Drosophila melanogaster: one gene and its partners. The protein of the gene in region 3 interacts with the protein of the main gene of each other region in a pairwise test. Each region holds a gene or a part of one and is shown on either strand. Other genes may lie near its edges.

Region 1 (5,520 bases), about 21 Mb from region 3:
CTTCAGACAGAAGGGCCTCAGACGCTAGAGAATCAGTTTGGTCAGGTTATGAGAACTGACAGGCAACATCTCTCACCACGCCCGAAGGGGCATTTGAGATTGTTTCTTTTTTTACACTGACACTATCGGTATGATGCAATAGGAGGCGCCGCAGATGCAATGAAGCACTCACCTGGATGACCCTCGCCAACGGACTCGGAAGTGAACAGGAATGTAGCTCCGTCTTCCATGTCATATGAGTTGCCATTGCTGCCGTTGCATCCGTTGGCGCTATGTCCGTTTGTCTTTTGCGGCATGTTGATGGGTAGTTTGTAATATGTAACTCGAAGTTTGAAGGGGCAATGGGGGAGCAGTGCTATAACCCGAGTTCCGGTCGGCTAAATTGTTGGTGGAGCTGGGGGAACAGAGAGAAAGAGAGGCCACATTAGCGGTTGTTAAAAAACGCTTAACGAAATTGATTTTCCGAACTCTTGCAAAACACATCTATTTTCGCATTCGCGAATCTAAGCTATAGGCCGCCTCGAGGCTGTTGGGATTTTCCGGTATTCGCACACTTTTCGTTATAGTTTTTTTTATATAATCGCCCTTCTTTTATGTTTTTATGCTGCGCGTTTGCCACAATCGTCGCTACATACATGAGACGCACGTTGAGCGGGTTCAAAGCTAAACTAGTCGCTAGGTGAGGGCTCGGTGCTGCTAGCTGTTTAAAATGCGTGTTCGACGTTCTAGCTATTAGTTCAACAAATTATACACACTGATTCTGAGTTATACTGGTTCAGCGACGGCAACCAAATCAGCGGCGCAGCCAACACACGTCCTATCTTAGCGACGGTTCTGAAGAAAAAGAGCGCAACTTTTTAATGCCATTCAGAATTTATACCTCCAACGAGAGAGCGGGCTTTTGCTTATCGTCGCAAACGGAGGAGGCGGTTCTCTTCGGCTGACTCGATTATTATTTTGAGACTTATTTGGGCGCTCTTTAGGGAAACTTTCCTAGCGTTCTCGGTACTCTCAAATGATTTTACTTCTTCAGTATCTCCACGTTTTTGGGTTTTAAGCAGCTGTTCCGCCGCCCAGCGTTGCCACCCCGCTCCGGAGTGAACTGTAGTGAATCTAGATCCAGATCCTTTATTTTATACTCACTGTGGTTTTGAACAAAGGATCAGACAAGATATGGATTATAGTCTCGACTAGCTTCCTGCTCAACCTGCGTTCAACTGCGGATGATTTTTACAGACGAATAATATTTATAAATTTTTGTAGACAGCATTTGAGAAGATGAGTCGGCAAGAAATAAGAGCTTATCAGAACAAAACTATGTGCTACCACGGCAGCCACCTATATACCTAATTTTTAAAATCTGTTTAGCATTGCTCTCTCGGCTTCTCTTATGTACAGCAATTGACATATACATATTCGATGATATAGACAATCGCTACACGAAGCGCAATTCGAAGCGAATTTTTAAACGAATGTCTGTATCTGTTGAAACCCTAGCTTTTCCCTAACATGGAGTGACTGCCCTTTTGGAGATGGATCGTTCGACACTATCTTGTCAAGGAAAGTCGTCAATTAGGGTTCTCATACTATTCGAACAATTTGTGCTTTTGAAAAAGTGCTTACGTCATGCCACAGCCAAGAAGACAAACAAGGTCTGCCAAGATCAAGGAGCCTGGTAATCAGTTTTTGCATGTACATTTTTTAAAATTCTAATACCCACTGAATATAACCGAAAACAACAAGCCCCATTATCTTTCAAATAAGGTGTGACCCCACGGGGCCTAAGAAGATCGCGTGTGCCTGAACGAACAGATGCGCAGGGCACATTATTCTTGAGCACAAATGGTGGGTGCTTGCGAACTGTAGATTGTGGCAATGCATTTATTTTACTGATTTATCGTCAGTTATTGTAATAGCCTTAACTAAACAATTTATCACTTTGCCAATAACAAGGTTTTTTATTATTTCACTTTTCTAATACATATATAATTTTCTTTTTGCCGTAAGAAACGTTCTCAATACGTAGACAAAAATATTTAAACTTAAAATGCTCAATTTTCAAGACACTTCACAAGAGCTATCAGCTACAATGACTGGGCAAAAGCCAATTATTTAAATAAATTCATTATATGGTAAAATATACTGCACGCAATTAAGTGCACAATTTTCTTTTGAATATATGAAAGGCACGCGCCAATAAGCCAAAATGATACGGCAACTCTCCCCGATATACGTCAGATAGGGCGATAAACAGATGTTTGTGAAAAAACAAATTGAACAAATAGTGAAAAGTTAAATGCGAGCGTTAATAGCGACCACGTCACGTTTTGTCGGCAAAAATGAGGGTTTGGGTAGCTTATAGTGCAGCTGCACTCTTACTGTTGGTGCACGCGGGTCCGGAAAGCATCAGTGGACAGGAGGTGCCCCAAAGCAAAACATCAAGCAACACCACCACTACAGATAATAGTAGCTCTATCCACACCGTTTCGGATGTCTTCGTCAACAGTCCGCTTGGAAATGTCACGCCCTCGATTTCTGCATCTGGTAATGCAAGCACCACGAAAAGGGGAAACGCATCCACATTGGTCACAGATCCGCCTCTAATCGATTCCCATGCTGTCGAGCAGGAGCACAACTCCTCACTCTCACTGTTTTTCGTCATCTGCGTTATCATGTTGGGCATCCTGCTTATCCACTCTATGCTCCAGACCGGGTTCCAGTACCTGCCAGAAAGCATTGTGGTAGTCTTTCTGGGCGCCTTTATTGGCCTTTCGCTGAACGTTATGTCTGGGCAGAATGGCAGTTGGAAACGTGAAGAGGTCTTCTCGCCCATGGGCTTCTTTCTGGTGCTCCTGCCGCCCATTATATTCGAGTCCGGTTACAATCTGCACAAGGGAAACTTCTTTCAGAACATCGGATCCATACTGGTCTTTGCCATATTCGGTACAACAATTTCTGCACTAGTCATCGGGGCGGGGATTTACCTGCTGGGCCTGGGGGAGGTGGCATTTCGGCAAGTTTAAAATAAATTGTCAATTTCATTCAATAATTTATCCTAAATTTTAGCCTAAGCTTTTCGGAATCCTTTGCCTTCGGTTCTCTCATCTCTGCTGTTGATCCTGTGGCAACAGTGGCAATTTTCCATGCTCTTGACGTAGACCCCATACTCAACATGTTGGTATTCGGCGAAAGCATCCTCAACGACGCCATATCTATTGTGCTGACTGCATCCATAACCCAATCCGCTAACGTCAATGCTGAGGCCAGCACTGGAGAAGCCATGTTCAGCGCGTTGAAGACCTTTTGCGCGATGTTCTTTGCTTCGGCGGGCATTGGAGTCATATTTGCACTAATTTCGGCTCTTCTTCTGAAGCACATCGATTTACGAAAGCATCCATCCCTCGAGTTCGCGATGATGCTAATGTTTACTTACGCACCTTACGTCTTGGCAGAGGGAATACACTTAAGCGGTATATCAATGTTGTTGACTATGACTCTAAAAGCTAAACATTTTTTTCAACTATAGGTATTATGGCTATACTATTTTGCGGAATCGTCATGTCCCACTACACGCATTTCAACCTATCCACTGTAAGTCATATGATATCCCTATTTTATATATTATTAAAACTTTTTTAATCGTAGGTTACCCAAATTACCATGCAGCAGACGATGAGGACACTAGCTTTCATTGCTGAGACCTGCGTGTTTGCTTATCTGGGATTAGCAATCTTTTCTTTTAAACACCAAGTTGAACTATCTTTTGTTATATGGGCCATTGTGCTTTGCTTAATTGGCCGCGCCTGCAATATTTTTCCGCTCGCGTTCTTGGTCAACAAATTTCGCGAGCATAAGATCAATAACAAGATGCAGTTCATTATGTGGTTTTCTGGCCTACGCGGAGCGATTTCCTACGCGCTATCTTTGCACTTGAATCTTGACAGCCAGGAGAAACGACACGTCATCATAACAACAACGTAAGCATATTCCGGATTGTAAAATAATGCTCAGTCATTGAAGAATTAAAATTTCAGATTAATCATTGTGCTATTTACCACGCTAGTGCTGGGGGGCTCCACAATGCCTCTGCTAAAGTACCTTAAGCCAGGAAAAAAACGGCGGGCACGCGGCTCTGGAAGGAATGCCGCTGAGGAGGGAGGTCGACGCAACGGCAGCGGTAGGAAGCGTTCAAAATCTATTTCCCTATCGAAAACTCGCGAATGGGGCCAGGCAATCGACTCTGAACACTTGTCTGAACTCACCGAGGAAGAGGACGTCACCTTTACTCAAGCGCGCGATCGTTTTGGGCGCATGGATCGCAAGTACTTTATTCCGTTTTTTACACGTCGGTTCAATAGTCAGGAATTGCACGAGTGCAAGTCACAGATGGCCGACCTGACTAACAAGTGGTACCAAGCCATTCGAGTGAGTCCATTGGATTCAGATGAATCGGACGAAGAGATAGGACTAGCGGCCAGCACAAGTCAAATTCATTTGACACGGTCGTAGGGATTAAATGGCTGTTGTGGGGGGAGCTCTGTATCCGTTTCGGACTGTGTTGGATAACTTTAGAAGCCAAAGGGAACGATCGTATGTAATGCTTAAGTTCCTCTAGTTAATATTTTTAGAGTTTTTATTTATATAGCGCGGTGATGGTTGTTATCTTGTGTATATTTTTTGTTTACAAATTTTCATTTTGTAAGATCCAAATGCAATGATTCATTCGTATCACTGTAGCTCCTTTATTAATCCGCTTAAAGCAGTATTACATTGCACACGACAGATGGTCTTCAAAATGAAAATTTGGACGTCACAAAAGCACACTACGTCAGTAATTTTAGTTAAAAATATTTATTCATACGAATATATGCTGTATTTGTGATTTTATACATTTTTGAAACCAAATAAATATCTAAGTGTGGTACGTGTAAAAAAATATGGTCATGCCCTGCTTTTTGAAATTCTAATTTATAATTACATATCAATTGATAATATTACCTATTAAAGTAAAATTGGCTACAAAAGGTGTGCGTTTTTGGTTACTTTTACAATTCTTCGTGCGTGGACTCTTCACCGAGCACCGTGGAGTTTGAATCACTGCGGACTGCAAACGAAGTACAAAAATCGTTAGATGTCTTGGGGGAATGTTAAAAGATTATGCTTTTCAAAACGCTCGTGTATATCATAAAAGGAAAGCAATGTTGACATGTCTTTTGACTTATAAAGACTTCATTATTAGTTCCTCCAACTGTTTTGTATCTATTTCGGGTTGGTGGCCGCCTCCTGCCTCCGAGTTGATCCAGTACTCGGAAACAGCAATGTACCCTGCCACTGCCGCCCCAACAATGCAACCCCAGGCAATATGAGTAGAGCTCTGGAAGATGACACAGGTGGCCACGCACATTCCGAAGTAGGTGAGCATTCGCGTAAAGCTTACGTAGTTGCTGCGTTGCTCCGCAGAAATATCTTAAATGATCGGAGGCGCAATACATACAGTGGACAATGCGTTGCTTAAAAGCA
Region 2 (3,661 bases), on a different chromosome or scaffold from region 3:
TACATTTTTATGCAATCTGCCTAAGTTTATATACCCTAACTTCAATTATACAAAGCAATTTAATAGAAAAAAATCATAGTCTCGATGATTCTTATGATAAAAAGTTTTAAATTTGTATACACTAGTTAAAGAGTATAATTCTTTTAATACATATATTTCGGTCTTAGTCTGTTCACATCTGAACAGTATATATTTACTGCAATAAATATTCACAATCAACATATTGTCGAAGCTAGCTTTTTTTCCTCTTTAAATGTATTATTATTATATTACTCACAAGTGGGGGTAAGTTTTGCGGTGGTCGCCTTTCTGGAGCGCTATTCGGCGCCGTATACTTTTGATTTGTAATTTGGTTCTGTTTCACGTCTGTCCTCGCATGCTGCTGTGAACCCATCGATGATTCACGAATTGGAGGTTTAATTATCGGTTCTGGTGGCAGTATGCTATTGCTTATATGATCCCGTGGATAATTGTACTCCTTGTCGGGGGAAATTGTCTCCTCGGGTATGGATTCGTCATCCGTCGATGAGTCCAGCTCATCATTGCACCCAGGGCTTCGGTTTAATACAGATGTGCGCTTCGATGGCATTGGAAGGCTGGGTTTTGGCCGTCCCTTAAGAGCTGCAAGGGCCTGTTGCACAGCCTCTTGTCGTACTTCTAGGGGTCAGATGATCAGAGATAAAATGTTGTTGCTGTAACTTGTTCTACTAACCAGAATGATAACGTTTCTCATTGTGCGTTACTTTGCGCTGTGTGCGTCGTTGACGATGCTGACTATTATTAGTTGACTGTTGGTTCTGAAAAGCACTTGGTTCGCGAGTGTTCTGATACCCGGGATCGCCGACTGCTCCACCCTGCGGTCGCATATTTTCGTAGCCAGGAGCCCCAGCATTTCCGCTCTGTGGTGCCGATGACAAGCTCATGGCGGCTTGCTGATGGAAGTCAATTTTTTTGGAATGTCTTTGCTGCGAGGAGGACAGGGAGGGCACTTCAGTCACATAACTGTAGCCCTCGCTGGACACAATGACGCCGTCGTTATTGATGTTTCCGTGGTTGGTGCTGTTGTTGGCATTTTTAACGTTGTAGTATGGCGGTGGCGGCGTACTTTTCACTTTATCGCCTGTTCACAACAAAAGGATCAAGAACTTTCTGGTGACGACCAAACGACCAAATATCAATGTTTTCGAACATACCTTCTGGCTTCTTTAGGAACGGCTGCAACAGCTTCGCCCTTTTCTTTTCGTAGCCTTTCTGCGTAATGTCACCTAGAAAAGCAGATGGAATTGTTTTCTTAACGATTAATATGTCCGCTGGGCCTCGTCGTTTTTTGAAAAGCGTGGAGTAGCGACTGAATCATGTATTCATGCTGAAAGCCACACAACACAACACACACACTTTTCTTTTAATTGGTCGGTCCCCGACTATATGTGGGCAGCTTTCAGCGAAAGAAAAGCCGAGAACAGCACTTGTAATCCCATTTGGGGGCGACAAGTATCCAATGATTTGAATCAGACCAGACTACGTCTGCCACAGTTTTCACGCGATTTTCTACAACTCAGTCGCCGCACTTTAACAACAATATTTTATTTTTGTGTGTATTATTCAAATAGGTATACCTTCCGACAGCTCTAAGTCCAGTTCGGCGAGCTTCTCGCGGACGTAGCCAGGCAGCGAGGCAGTGTGCTCCATGGCAGATGAAAAGTGTGGCTTTAGGGTTTTGTTCTATCCTCTTCCTTGGAGGATTCGTCTAAACTTTGGCTGGTCGCAGTACACAAACACACCCAGACACCGCTACTTTCCCACTTCGTTGTCAAAAATCGATCGATTTGCCATTTATTCTATTTCACATTTTGCCGACGCAAATAAATACATCCGTACTTGCGCAGCACCAGTACTTTGGGTTAGTTAGAAAACACGATATTACGAATGTCTTTTACGAATTTGCACAATGAAAGTAAACAAAGAAAAATAGCAGTACAAATCGATTTTATGAACTAGCGAAAAATTGATAACTATTTCTTCATACTCTTGGGACAACGGCCTTTTTCAATTTTCGAGATGCGGTCACACTGCCCAAGTAATCGAACCACGAATTTAAGTGTTATTTTTAATGATATTAGGCATAGAACCATTACAATTAAAAAGCTCTATTATTTATTACTTTAATCGCTTGTCTCTTAAAATTCGATTCAACAAAAGCAATTGGTGGCATTTTGCTAGGTAGCCCTGAAATACTGTAGAGACTATCGATATCTGCACCTAAGGCGCCTATTATCACATTCGGATTACGAAGACAAAGACATGCGAAACCTGGATACGATTAGTGGCGAAGAAAAGCAAAGTCCTGCCAACTTAGTCTAAATTGTTTCTAAGCCGGCTGCCTATACGCCTGCGTTTTGAGCAAAGCGGTAGTATCTTTTTCGGAACCATCGATAGCTTGTCATCTCCAGTAAAAATGCGTGAGTTTATTTAAAAAAAACGCTAGGCATACAACTAATTATTCTTATGATGCAGAGAACTTGAAGATCCAAGAGGAAGTCAATTCATTGATGCGTCTAGGCCAGCACTTCGATGACCAGTTAAAGCTGGCTAGCGTCGAGTTGGGCGATTTCTCGGACGATGACCTGGCGCTCCTTGACAAATGCGCCCAATATTATTCACTTTTGCACATTCACGACATCAATCTGAACTACTTGCGCGACTTCTATTGTGCCAAGAAGAGGGAATGCATAGAAAACCGGCAGACCACAGTGCAGCAACGCGTAGAGCTGCAGCGCATCCTCTCGTCCATCGAGGAGGCGACTAGGGACGTAGTTATGTTGGAGAGGTATTGGTGAACAAATCCCTTTAATAGTTGAATCCCTGACCAAAACCATTCTTCTGCAGATTTAATGCTGCTGCGGAAGAGCGGCTCATCCCGGATATCGTCGTAATGCAGCGAAACGCCCAACAGCTTGCAACAAAACAGGCCTTACTGGACCGGCAAAAAACCCTTAAGATCCCAAAGGATTTTAGCATTGAAAGTGTCATCGAGAAGGTAGATTCGCTGGAGCAGCGCTAAAGAAGTGAATTGCTTTCGTTTTTAAAAAATTATTTAATTGTATTTACTCAGTAATGCAAAACACTTTACAAAAACATAAAATCTGCAAATTTTAAAGATGAATGTTGAGGTTTACAACTTGGAACACTACACAATCAGAGGGTGCACTTATTTTGGTTATTGTACGCATTTTAAAAACGTTCCAATTGTTGCTAGGTTGTGTCAAATATTTATTTAAAGTATCATGATAGGAAAACTAGAAGACCAAATAATAATTTGCCAGCTGCTTAAAGCATACAAAAAGTGTACCGTGTTCTTCCATGCCATTGCTCATATGTATGTATTTGTGTATTTCCAATGTGGTATATGTATCATATATATTGGTGTATAGATAGAATTAGTAATTTCATATTCTTTAAGTTCTTGCTTGTTGTTATGTATATAAAGGGCGGGTATGTGGCAGACAATCTTTTCGGCTAGCAACGCGCTCCACGCCACAGGCCTACTCCACGTTTCCGGGCATCTTTTAGCGGAACTCGGGCGCATCATCTTGCGTTATGTCACCGTACTTCCAGATGGCCAGATGCGCGACCCGAGCTGCTTCCTGCGCGGCTTTGTACT
Region 3 (5,236 bases):
ATTGTTAATTGTTATATTTGTTTTATTGTTTTGTTACAGCTAACTTTTGTTAGCCGGCGCTCCTGAAAGGGCTGAATTAATAACGACCAAGGTGACAAAGGGGTTAATAAAGTCTATAAAAAAAAATTAAATAATTTTATTCTTTATTTACTGTCTACAGGCCGGAAGCGTTTTCTCTTGTACTTCAATAAATAGGAGTTTTTATACCCGTTTATCGTAGAGTAACTACTAGATTCGTTGAAAAGTATGTAACAGGAAGAATGAAGCGTTTCCGACATTATAATGTACATGTATCTGTATTCTTGATCAGGATCAATAGCCGAGTAATGTCCGTCTGTCTGTCTGTCCGTATGAGCGTGGAGATCTCAGGATTAAGCATGAATTTTCTAGAGACAAACCCGCAGCGCTAGTTTGCTTCCAAATATTGAAATTTTGAAAATTGAAATTAACAATATTTGATGTAGTTGTGATTGTGATACGTCAGCAATGTGTAGGTGTCTTGCTCTTAATGTTTGGGTCAAATCCCGAATGATACCCCTGAGTGTACTAAAGAAATTTATATTTATTTTATTGGAAAAATTTTAAACATAAAGTGGGCTTTAAAACTGTCTTTTTATTCTGTCTTTTTTCATTCTTCTCTCTGTAAACTCTACAAAAAAAAAAACAAGGGAGAATGCTATATTCGAGCATATATGTATGTATATAAAGTCTTAAGCATTTCCAAGCTTATCAGGAACAAGCAATGATCTACTCCTGCCTTTTAGTCGATTATTATGTAGCGAGTTAACCAAAGTCTGAATACTAGCCAACTTATATTACGTTTTACATAATACAAACTATAGACCACAAATAATGTATAAAAATCTAGAGGAAAAAATTGTGAAGCTCTTGGAGTCATCTATAGTTTTGGCCTGGCAACGCTCACCCAATAAATTATTGAACCTGGATACAAAATTGGCCGAGGCATTGAGTAAAGCCAAAGAAGCATTCTCATTGGATAGAACATTACACCAATTTCGAGACCAGCACGGTGAAAATGTTTATCACAACTTCGATTTGACATATGCGGTAAGCACGACTAGAAGGATAATTTAAAACTTTAATATATATGGACTATAGGTTTTTTTTAATCTCGCGGAGCAATACGAACGGAGTGAGATGCACATCGAAGCCCTCAATACCTACAGCATTATGGCCAAAAACAAGATGTTTCCACACGTCAATCAGCTAAAACTAAATATGGGTAACATCTACTACAGCATGGGTATTTACCAAAAGGCGGTTAAAATGTACCGCATGGCCCTTGATTCTGTACCAAAGAGCTTAAGTCAGTTAAGGCTAAAGATCCGTGAAAACATTGGAATCCTTTTTATTCGCATGGGCTCTTATTCAGATGCTGCTTCTAGCTTTGAGTTCATCATGACGGAGCGGGCAAACATTAGAAGTAGCATTCACCTCTTACTCTGCTACTTCGCCTTGGGCGATGTGGAGAAAGTAAAGTTAGCCTTTCGGAGACTTTGTGATGTCCAAACCGAAGCAATAGAATCGGATATGGAGAGTGAGACGAATATCATTAAACTTCAACAGCAGGCTGAGCCGATTCAACAATGTGGCGAAATCGACGTGCACCAGACAACGAACAAGACACGAGCTCGGTTATAAGCGCAGAAGGTGGAGGTAAACCATACGGTATGGTCCATACCCGTTTCTCGTAGAGTAAAAGGGTATACTAGATTCGTTGAAAAGTATGTAACAGACAGAAGGAAGCGTTTCCGACTGATAATAATATTTTAACAATTGAAATTGGGTTTTATGTTTTATATTAAATCAGATAACAATTAACTAAACTTATTCAAACTTTTATAGAAATGTCTTAGTATAAAATGATAAAATAAACCAAAATGATTTGGTTTAATAAATACCGCAACCTTCTTACATTATACATTTAATTGGTATTTATTCACCTCTTTTACGCATGTGCTGCTTATACGTGATCACCAAGGCAACTCAACCAAAACAAAGACCAACCCCCAAAACCGTTCATATTGATTGAGAACCTTATTATACGCGTGTAGTGCGGTGAGACAAAAATGACTTCTCAAATAACTGCTAACGGAACGCAAAGATTACCGGAGCCTGTTTCCGAACATGAAGCGGTTCCGCCTCCCCCACCCACGGCGGCGGGCAGACCCAGACCCCCCACTTCACAGCTTTTTTCAGTGAGTTTTGAAAAAAAAAAAATTTAAAACGCTGTGTAATTTCTGTAATTCAGCGCGGCAATCTGGCCAGCAGTCGGGCAACAGGAGGCGATAAATCAGGTCTTGCAAGACCATCAACAGCAGTCCGGGCTGTGGGCTACGCTGCTAATTGCGAGTCTGCTCATCAAAGGTTCGAACAATTTTTCCTGGAGAAGGCGAAGCAACAAACGCTCTCGTCAAGAGCCGCTGTGGATGCCATAAAGGATGTAAAGTAAGTAAGAAAATTATTTTTAGAGGACGGTTGCATCAAAGGGGTTATCAAAAATCGTAAAAAAAAAATAAATAGAAAGGTACTGAAGTTAAAGGTATACTGAATCTATATTCATGTATTTATTCACTTGCACCTTATAAACTTACAAGCATACAGAGGTGGTCAAAAGTATTTACACAACGTGCTTTTTTTCTGTTGTCAATTGTCAAGAAGTGGAAAAAATAACTGTTCATGGGCTAAAAATAGAAGCATTAAACTTGTCTGTTGTCAGAAGTATTTACACACAATTTTTAAGCTTCAAAATTATTTGCACAGTGCAAATTGAAGATTAGTCTAGTAAAGTTCTAGTTGATGTTGATCGCTTAATTGGAACTTAAACTAACTGTTAACAGTTATGTTAATAGATAAAACTAAGCATTAAATTTGTAAAATGGCAAAAACAAAGGAGCTATCAGTTGAGCATCGAGCCGAGATTGTCACTAAAATTAAGGCTGGTACTTCTGCATCCAAATTAGCTGAGTTATACAAAATATCACGTAAAACTGTGTACAATTAGGTAAAAAAAAAGGACATTGGATTGGGAATTTTGGAAAATAAAAAGAGAACTAACCGAAAAGTTGCATTGAACCCAAGAGACTGCAGACACATTATAGGAGTTGTACTATATAATCCCACCATAAGTCCCGTTAAAATTGCCGCAGCATCGAAAAATTTAGTTAGAGAACATATTAGCGATAGTACACTGCGTCGCAGAATGAAGGAAGTTGACATCAACTCCTATGTTATTCGTGCAGTATTTAATATTACCCCAAGAAACAAGGAAAATCGTCTGGCATTTGCCTTGGAGTAAAAAGAGAAGCCTCTCGAATTCTGGTTTGATATTTTATGGACTGATGAAGTTGCGTTTCAGTTTCAGGGATCCTTTAGCAAGCAATTTATGCATTTCCCAATACAACTAAAGGGTAATGCCGTTCAGCCAATCAATCGGTTTGGTGGTGTCACGGTGATGTTCTGGGGCTGTTTAAGCTACTATGGGTTTGGAGACATGGTACCGATAGAGGGTACAGTAAATCAAACAGGATACCTCCATATCTTAAATGAGCACGCATTGACCTCAGGAAATAGACTGTTCTCCAAGAATGACTGGATCTTGCAGCAGGGCAATGCTCCATGCCACAAGGGCCGAGTACCAACCAAGTTCTTGAAAGACATAAATCAGGCGGTACTTCCATTGCTCATATTCCATATAAAATATTTCGTTTAAATTCAATAAAAAAGGCAAAAATGAATTAAAAAAGCTGTGTGTAAATAATTATGAATTTTTTAACATAACATAATTTTTAAACATAGTGGAATTTAAAAATGTTATTTTAATTCTGTCTTTTTTCATTCTTCTCTCTGTAAATTTTACAAAACAACAAGGAAAAGTCTTAAGCATTTCCAAGCTTATCAGGAACTAGCAATGATCTGATCCTTTTAGTCGATTATTATGTAGCGAGTTAACCAAAGTCTGAATACTAACCAACTTATATTACGTTTTACATAATTCAAATTATAGCCCACAAATGAAGTATAAAAATCTAGAGGAAAAAATTGTGAAGCTCTTGGAGTCATCTATAGTTTTGGCCTGGCAAGGCTCACCCAATAAATTATTGAACCTGGATACAAAATTGGCCGAGGCATTGAGTAAAGCCAAAGAAGCATTCTCATTGGATAGAACATTACACCAATTTCGAGACCAGCACGGTGAAAATGTTTATCACAACTTCGATTTGACATATGCGGTAAGCACGACTAGAAGGATAATTTAAAACTTTAATATATATGGACTATAGGTTTTTTTTAATCTCGCGGAGCAATACGAACGGAGTGAGATGCACATCGAAGCCCTCAATACCTACAGCATTATGGCCAAAAACAAGATGTTTCCACACGTCAATCAGCTAAAACTAAATATGGGTAACATCTACTACAGCATGGGTATTTACCAAAAGGCGGTTAAAATGTACCGCATGGCCCTTGATTCTGTACCAAAGAGCTTAAGTCAGTTAAGGCTAAAGATCCGTGAAAACATTGGAATCCTTTTTATTCGCATGGGCTCTTATTCAGATGCTGCTTCTAGCTTTGAGTTCATCATGACGGAGCGGGCAAACATTAGAAGTAGCATTCACCTCTTACTCTGCTACTTCGCCTTGGGCGATGTGGAGAAAGTAAAGTTGGCCTTTCGGAGACTTTGTGATGTCCAAACCGAAGCAATAGAATCGGATATGGAGAGTGAGACGAATATCATTAAACTTCAACAGCAGGCTGAGCCGATTCAACAAATTGGCGAAACCGACGGGTACCAGTCTTTAAACAACGAACCAGTCACGGGCTCGGTTATTAAGGCAGAAGGTGGCGGTAAACTGAACGAGACCGTAAAGTTTGCAGCCACAGTGAAACATCGTTATGTTGTCCAAGCACTTAAGAAAGACGAGCTGGCCGTATATAGAAATGAACGTCGTAATGCCGTTAAACGATCTATTACAATGATTGTAGACTTAATATCACCTTTTATCGAAGATAACTATAATGATGGTGAGTACGACTGAGATAAAATACAGCAGGTAGGATAAAACATAAATTCAGGGTATTATAATAATTATTGTTGTATAATTATACCCGTTACTCGTAGAGTAAAAGGGTATACTAGATTCGTTAAAAAGTATGTAACAGTATGTAACCCAGGTTGCCATGCCCACTCTAACGCCCACAAACCGCACAAAAC

What was found. The genes of interacting proteins can lie anywhere in the genome.
Region 1: the proteins of nompB (region 3) and Nhe1 interact in a two-hybrid assay, tested with the Drosophila melanogaster proteins (one large-scale study listed by BioGRID).
Region 2: the proteins of nompB (region 3) and wac interact in a two-hybrid assay, tested with the Drosophila melanogaster proteins (one large-scale study listed by BioGRID).

The regions. Positions count from the first base shown.
Region 1 is NT_033779.5:103,462-108,981, reverse strand, and holds Nhe1 (Na[+]/H[+] hydrogen exchanger 1), read left to right. Parts: upstream 1-2,249; 5' UTR 2,250-2,339; coding exon 2,340-3,013; intron 3,014-3,066; coding exon 3,067-3,470; intron 3,471-3,526; coding exon 3,527-3,591; intron 3,592-3,645; coding exon 3,646-3,977; intron 3,978-4,034; coding exon 4,035-4,509; 3' UTR 4,510-5,020; downstream 5,021-5,520. Other genes in the region: Sam-S (S-adenosylmethionine synthetase), read right to left, coding at 173-296; Creld (cysteine rich with EGF like domains), read right to left, coding at 5,219-5,466.
Region 2 is NT_037436.4:255,937-259,597, forward strand, and holds wac (wee augmin), read left to right. Parts: upstream 1-2,239; 5' UTR 2,240-2,455; coding exon 2,456-2,459; intron 2,460-2,469; exon of another isoform or gene 2,470-2,514; coding exon 2,515-2,827; intron 2,828-2,886; coding exon 2,887-3,061; 3' UTR 3,062-3,161; downstream 3,162-3,661. Other genes in the region: DIP2 (DISCO interacting protein 2), read right to left, coding at 278-657, 713-1,120, 1,194-1,265, 1,617-1,689; Tudor-SN (tudor staphylococcal nuclease), read right to left, coding at 3,567-3,661. UniProt on the Drosophila melanogaster protein: As part of the augmin complex, plays a role in centrosome-independent generation of spindle microtubules.
Region 3 is NT_033779.5:21,586,210-21,591,445, reverse strand, and holds the start of nompB (no mechanoreceptor potential B), read left to right. Parts: upstream 1-2,022; 5' UTR 2,023-2,090; coding exon 2,091-2,219; intron 2,220-2,272; coding exon 2,273-2,469; intron 2,470-4,027; coding exon 4,028-4,253; intron 4,254-4,304; coding exon of another isoform or gene 4,305-4,325; coding exon 4,326-5,046; intron 5,047-5,236.